Stegostoma tigrinum: one gene and its partner. The protein of the gene in region 1 interacts with the protein of each later gene in a biochemical or structural test. Links are inferred from orthologs where the notes say so. Each region holds a gene or a part of one and is shown on either strand. Other genes may lie near its edges.

Evidence for each region.
Region 2: the proteins of pdzk1 (region 1) and sdk2b interact in a test that uses a peptide from one of them, tested with the Homo sapiens proteins (2 studies listed by IntAct, with this or other methods). The link is inferred for Stegostoma tigrinum from reciprocal best matches to the Homo sapiens genes PDZK1 and SDK2.

The regions. Positions count from the first base shown.
Region 1 is NC_081359.1:15,468,718-15,472,470, forward strand, and holds the start of pdzk1 (Na(+)/H(+) exchange regulatory cofactor NHE-RF3), read left to right. Parts: upstream 1-822; 5' UTR 823-943; intron 944-3,753. UniProt on the Homo sapiens protein: A scaffold protein that connects plasma membrane proteins and regulatory components, regulating their surface expression in epithelial cells apical domains.
Region 2 is NC_081375.1:25,461,246-25,464,998, forward strand, and holds the start of sdk2b (protein sidekick-2), read left to right. Parts: upstream 1-776; 5' UTR 777-1,588; coding exon 1,589-1,667; intron 1,668-3,753.

The DNA of each region.
Region 1 (3,753 bases):
GCCCAATGGCATCAATGTGGATTTCACAAGCTTCAAAATCTCGCCTCCCCCACCGCATCCCAAAACCAGCCCAGCTCGTCCCCGCCTACTAACCTGTTCTTCCTCCCACCTATCCACTCTTCCCACCTCAATCCGCACCCCCATTTCCTAGCTACTCACCTCATCCCGCCCCCTTGATCTGTCCATCCTCCCTGGACTGAACTACCTCCTCCCCACCTACACTCACCTTTACTGGCTCCATCCCCACCTCTTTAACTTGTCTGTCTCCTCTCCACCTATGTTCTCCTCTATCCATCTTTGATCCGCCTCCTCCTCTCTCCCTATTTATTTCAGAAACCTCTTCCCCTCCCCCATTTCTGACGAAGGGTCTCGACCCGAAATATCAGCTTTCCTGCTTCTGAGACGCTGCTTGGCCTGCTGTGTGAATCCAGCTCCACAACTTGTTATCTCAGATTCTCCAGCATCTGCAGTTCCTATTATATCTGATACAGTATTCTGAGGCATCCAGTTCTGGGCAACTTATAAGCAGCCAAACATTTTCAAAGCCCCTTCAGCAGGTTAGAGACTAACCCAGTAGAGAAAAAGCTTGCCAAACTAGAGTGACACACACACAGTCACTTAGTTATGACAGTAAACAGTAAAGAGTTTTACACAGTGCCCTATCCAAGTGGGAGTTTTGTGGTCACATTAATTATTAGAGATTCATTGCTATTAGAATTTCACAAATAAACGTTGCCTAGTAAAGAGTTCATGGAAGCAGTCACATCAATTAAATATTGGACACAGTGATAAAGGGAATGTATCAGCATTCCACAATATGTCGAGTGCTCTGCTGAATTGTTCAACCTTTTAACCAAACCTTGATCAAAGTCCATAGGTGTAGATTGCACCTACAAAAGACAACATTCATAGATTCACTAGCAACTGAACCGACCAGAGTTTGGTAAGCACTTTTTGTGAGCATTATTTTGCCCTGGATTAATTTTTGGATAGAAATACGGCTCGAGTTTAATTGTCAGCAGCAAACATCGCAATATAACTAGTGTCCGCACATTCCCCTGTGTCTGTTTTAATCATTTGACATATTGCTAATCTGTATTTTCAATTTCACTGCTGTTCAAATATTGACTGCAATCATCTGCTATTGAAGTTTAATAGAATAAGCAGGTAAATAACTTTTCATGACAAATTATACTCCTGCTGTGCAACTTAAGTAAAGCAAAAAAGTACAGACACCTTGGAATTCTCAGTGCATACAACTTCCTATTGAAATTACTTTTCTATAATAACGTTTTATAGTCCTGGCTCAATTTTTCAAACTAATATAATGCAACACTATTTATTTAAGTATGATAACTTACTTCTGAAATAGTAGTCTGTAAATGGGGTGATCAATAAATATAAATAGTTTGTTAATTACTTAGGGTATCCCATGTAGAGACATAATATTACTTACAGTCAGACATAGACATAATCTACTGAATGGCCTCCAACTGGACTGTCAGAATTTGTGATTAGGAGATCCACACAGATTTTAACTGAAATCTATTTACGTTAGCTGTGGTCTTGTCCCGGAACCGAAGGCAATATCTAATCGCAGTGGTTTTATACTTTATTTTTGGTTACATCAATAATGCTGTTTAAATTAGAGCTGGCATTAGTACAATAGAGAGGAATGACATATGGTCAGGAAACCAGAATGCAGAAGTAGTTTAGATGGTGATGACATATGACAAAGGGAAGAAGCCATTTATAGGAGTGGTATATAGGCTTTCTAATAGTAAATACACATAAGATGGCAAATATAGGAAGCAATCAGACGGGAATGTCAGAAAGGTTTGGCAAAAATCATGGGGAATTTTAATGTGGTACAAACTGGAAAATTGAATGGGCAAAGATAGGCTCGATGAAGATTTCATAGATATTTTTCAGGATGGTTTCTCAGAGCCGACCAGAGAGCATGCAATACTAGATCTGGTGCTGTGCAATAAGATAGGATTTGAAGTGAAAGTCCCAATAGTTATTGATGACCATAATATGATTGAATTTTACTTTCAGTTGGAGAGAGAGAGAGAGAGAGAGAGAGAGAGAGGAGTGGGTCCAAGACTAGTATTTTAGACAGAAACAAGGGTAATTATGGTGATAAGAAAGTAGGTCTAACTGAAGTGAACAGGCAAGTTAGGTTAAGAGGGAAATCATGTTTAATCAATCTGTTGGAGATCTTTGAGGAAGTAACACATGCTGTGGATAAAGGGGAGCTGGTTGACACAGCAGACTTAGATTTCCACTGCAACTCATAGAGATAGACCTGAAACTGAAGGAAGTCTCTCCCATATCGGGAATTTGCTTATTTTCAAAGGCATTAGTGAAGGCCAAAACACTGGTGTGAAATTGGAATTATTCTTTATTATAGACTAGGAGGAGGGGCCCCCGTTTATAGCAGGTATAGGCTTCCACCAGCAGCAGCTATGCCCACTGGGGTCTCAAAAGCTTGGGAATGCCTTCTGTTCATTTAGAAATCTCTTTAAAACCTACCAGACATTTTCTAATACACTGTATGTGTTTCAGGTGTCAAATATTGGTAGGTAATTACTTCTATGAAGCTCCTTGGGACTATTTACAACCTTAATGATGATGATCAAATGTGAATTGTTGCTCAAGACCTTAAAATGTGCAGGGGCCACTATTCCAGGTGATGCTGGCAGTGATCTTGAGTCTAGCTTTTTCCGGTGAACCCACATTCTCTATGCTGGATGGTAATCTTCATTTGAAAGACTATTCCTCAATGTGGCCTCAGTGTGGACTGGTGTTGTCAATTCTCAAAATTGGCCCTGAGTCTCCAGAACACTGAGTAAAATCACTGGGACTTCTAAAAAAAAGAGGGTGCACTTTCATTCATGCAAATGTGATCCCTCCTATCTGGCTATTATTGGAGACAGGAGCAAGTGAACAGATATTTGACTGAGAGCCAAGCATCAACCTGTCAGATCACACAGAAGTCTGATTGGTTGGTGGAAGCATACTGTATTAGATGAACAACTGGCCAATGACAATACTGTGGTCTGGAACAAAAATGTATTTTTAATCAGCCTATTCTGAGTTACTATCACACACCCCTGAAACAGGTCAGACTTGACGCTAAGCCTCCTGGTCCAGGGTAGGAACACTACCACAGCACCACAGGAGGGTTCCATAACATGGATGCGGTCAGGAAAGTTTAAGATGACATTGGTAAACCCCAATATGGATTGGGAGTGAATTTCAGCTCACTGGGTCTGGCTGTCATTACATCATAAGTGTAAATAGCATGAAACAAAATATATATATTCAATTCACAAGGGGCAAATTAAACTTCTTTCTCCCACCCAGATGTCAGGGTGCAATTTGATTTTCTGAGTGAACAGATTTTCTAATGAAGTTACAATGATCAAGAGGTGGGACAATTTATCCCTCAGTATCCAGTCATGTGTGAGATGTATATGGGCATGATAGCTCTATTAATAGTCACTACTCAAAATGATGACACATGGTTTGGTGTGTATTATAAAACAGTGTGTATACTTATTAAAATTAGCTTATATTTTTTCTGTATTTTTAATATATTAAAACATCCTGTCTTCAAACGAGCAAGTATTAAATGAAATTTGACACAGAGCCACATAAGGAGATACTATGGCAGATGATCAATAAATTGATCCAATTTGTAGATGATAAGGACAAGTGAGATACAGAGGCTGGGAAGTTTAGGGAAGA
Region 2 (3,753 bases), on another chromosome or scaffold:
ACTTTGAGATTCTGTGTCGACATGATGGGTTCAATAGCCTACTTATGCATCACAGCAATTCTGTGATTATTTGTTTTTATTTCTGATTTGCAACACAAACATTTCGCCCCTAAAATCGTGTGCACTACCAGCTTACTAGCAATGTCCATCATTTTCACCCTGTTCACCTTCGTTTCTTTTCCTCTCTCATCCGTTTCTGCCCAGCGGGACGAGCACAACCCCTAAATATTCGCACGCCGTTCCAATGGACGGAAAATGGGTGGGCACGGGAGAATTTATGGCGCAATTGCAGATCTTCGCCGTTGGTACTGAAAGATTACCGCAGAGGGAATAGTGTTGCAAGCTCCGAGCTCACTCGCAAAATTGGGGTTTTATTTGTTTGGGCTGGCGGGGGGAGGGACGTTTTGCAAACGAACGGGCAGGTGCTAAGCAGTGGAAGCAAATTCAACGCCAGGGGCTCCTACCCCGGCAGCACCCGACTCTCGCGCTCTGGGGTAGCCGACACTTCCCCGCGCCGCACCCAGGTGGCGCTGCAGGCAGCGAGAACAGAAAAGGGGGGCGGAGGGAAAGACAGGGCGCGCGCAAAGTGCGGGCGTGCGGTGTTTGGCGGGTGCTGGGTTGGGGTGAGAAGTGGGGAGGAGGCGCGCTCGCTTTGCCTCACGGGAGCGCGCTGCAGGGAGGAGGAGAAGAATGGTGGGGGCGGAGTCTAGGGCTGGTGATTGACAGGAGCCCGGGCTATCGGCAGTAGCTGGAGCAGCGGCGGTGGCGGCCAGACGGTCTGACCGGCTCCTGGTGAGGAGCAAGCAGGAGGAGGAAGAGGAGGAGGAGGACAGCAGCAGCGATCACCCTGCAAACCCAACACCAATCACCCCTGCGTGGCAACCTTTTCAGATTTCTCCCCACCCCACCTTGTGACAGGAGGAGGGTTGGGGGTGTGCAGACAGACAGAGAGAGAGAGCTCCCCTTCCCCATCACTTCGAACCAGCCAAACTTTCCCATTTTTGTACCCCCCCCCCATATCTCCCCATCATCACCTCCACCAGACAAGAATTAGCTCTTTGGATGGAGAGATTGCAAGTTGTTCGCCGCTACAGCAAAAAAAGTTTTTATATTAAAGAAAAACGCGATCAAACTACAACGAGTCTGGAGCAACTTGAGATTTGACAGAAGCAAATCCCCATCATTGCCACACACGGATTAAAGGTGGAGCGGGGGAGTTGGACTGTGTACAACTTTAAAAGCCCTCATATTTCAATAAGTGCCTGGGAAGTTTGAGCAAGTTTGACGTCCGGTCTGAAGCATGTGAAAGGTTTCATTCCGGGAGAGGCGGAGGGCTCAGCCGGGTTCAGGAGGTTGCCGGGATTTGGCTTGACCCTGTCCTCTGGTGCACCGGGGGCTGAGATCCCCGTTATCCTCGCAGTCACCCGCCGTCACCCGCCGCCTCCCCTGGTCTGGGGACTGAAGGGGCTTTCGCCGCCACCTACCACCCAAACACCTCGCCCTCCACCAAGAGCAGAGGCTTTGTGGATGCAGACGGGATCTACCTGGGAGAAAGGGAAGGCTTTTCTTTCCGACCTGCAGTTTGACAATGTGGTGGAAGCCGGTGCCGGAGACCTGCCTTCTGGTGGCTTTTTTACTTCTGAACAGGGCAGCGACGCGAGCACAAGGTAGGGAAGACGGTTCATTCATTTGACAGCATCCGCGGGCTGGGCTGAATTTAGGAGTCCCTTTGAGGCCAGGTCACTGCTTATTGTTTGTTGTTGTCGTGGGACAGAATTTATAGCCGCTGTTTGTTTTGTGTTTGCACGGAGTAGAGAGGAAAGTAACCTGGTGCATTGCTGATATATGTTCAAATATCAAGGTGGACGCGGCAGTTCCAGAGAATCTTACAGCGTCCATGAGTTTTTTTGACAGTTTTCCAGACGTGGTTGTGAGTTTAAGGTGAGGGAGAATAGTAAGAAAACCGACACCTGTGAATAAACAGAGAAATCTGCTTAGTGCAACCGAGTGGATTTATGTCGTGTGTGTGTTTTTTTTTCAAAAAAATGTATGAAGGTGTCATAAAACAATGATCGAAGTTAGGGGTCGAAAACGTTCGGCGGAGTTGGTGCAAACGTCAGTCTCTCATTTAACGAAGTAGAAAGTCGGCAAAAGACTAACTTGGCGGCCAAGGTATTGAAGGATCGCCGAGGCAGGGAGCGGGCAATGCAGCCGAGGAGAGGAAGCCTTCCAGTTAGCGGATCGGAAATCGGGTGCTTAACCCATTGAATTGGTTACAATGCTAAACGAGTGAGGGATATGGAAATGAGCTGGAACAGAAGTCACTCGGTTATAGTTAATTATGTTTCAGTGTGTGTGTTTGGGTGGGGAGAGGGGGCGACAGTTCGTCTCGATTTCTGTATCGATCTTTCACCTCTTTTAAACACAAACGACTGCTATGAAGGTAGATCAGTTCAGTGGTGTTGGGTGAGATTAGTTCAGGCAGAATGTGGCCGATTTTCTCTTGAGCAAATAATGAGCCCTGCTCTACGCGCTTCTTGTACTGTTTCAAATGGAAATGCAGCACGTTTCTTGCGTCTGCTTTCATCTCACTGTTTGAAATATGAACAAGGGGCGAACTCATTCATTCTTGCAGTGATTTGACCACATCCATTGCCAATCTTATCCTGAACCCAGAGACTTCAATGGTTGGTCGGTTCTAAAATTGATGTGATATTTTCTGAAGTGCGAATGCTACCCTTTTAAAGCTGACCATTATAAATTGGAACACTACCGGTGCAGTGAGATTTTCTCGTTTTTTTTCTGACAGCGGATGGCTGAGTTGTAAACAGTTGACTGTCAGGTTTAGGGGGAGAGCCTGTGCTTGGGCGGCTATTGGTGAAATATTGACTCCATCAGTCTGGCCTGCACTTTCATGTCAGGTCATGGTTGCGAATTTGTTTTGTTCGAACACGCCTTAGGTAAAATGGATTGAGAATTAGTATTTCTTTTAAAAAAATACGGAATCCACACGTTCAATTTTGAAAAAAAAGGTCAGTGGTCAGAGAAATCTTTCACGTACTAGATTCGAATTGGTCGAATTTAGGATTCCTTATATTTTAAAGAAACTAGCCATCAGGGTGTTTGGAGAGCCACAGTGCGCCTCAGATCAGAGTCAAGTTTGGACTTGGCTATTATGGTAAAAAGCTAAGATTAAAATCTTCCAGCCCCAGATAGAGGCGACGGTGCAAACTTTTCCGGCGCAACCAGGAAGCTAGTGATGCTTTCCGTCCGGGCGAGTATCAGAACAGCACCGGCTCAAAGACTCCACAATGTGGCAACAATGGTTTTCCAACATGAAATGAACCGATGGCCAAGCGTGTTAGCAGATTGCGTGATGATATCTACAAGGGCAATATTTGCAAGGCACATGTTCCCCATGACAAACATGGGAGGTATCTGTTTGTCGGGGGGTTGCGTTGGCCGCTACCTCCCGCAGACATCTAAAAGACAAGAGTTGAGCGTTAGCAAAATGTGTAAAATTTTAAACGAAACAATGACGGAGGAAGCGAACCAGAGAGAAGGCTGCGCCCCAAACACATCTGAAACTGTGCTAAGGTTGGGCGTTCACCGTGAAGCTGAGGAATACCATTTTAAAGGCCGTTTTAAATCGCTACAGAGCTGGACAGCATGGTCTTGGTCATTGATTTTTAAGGACGGAGCCTCCAGTGGTACAGCACTGTGTGACCTACTCTTCAGAATCCATCAGGCAGA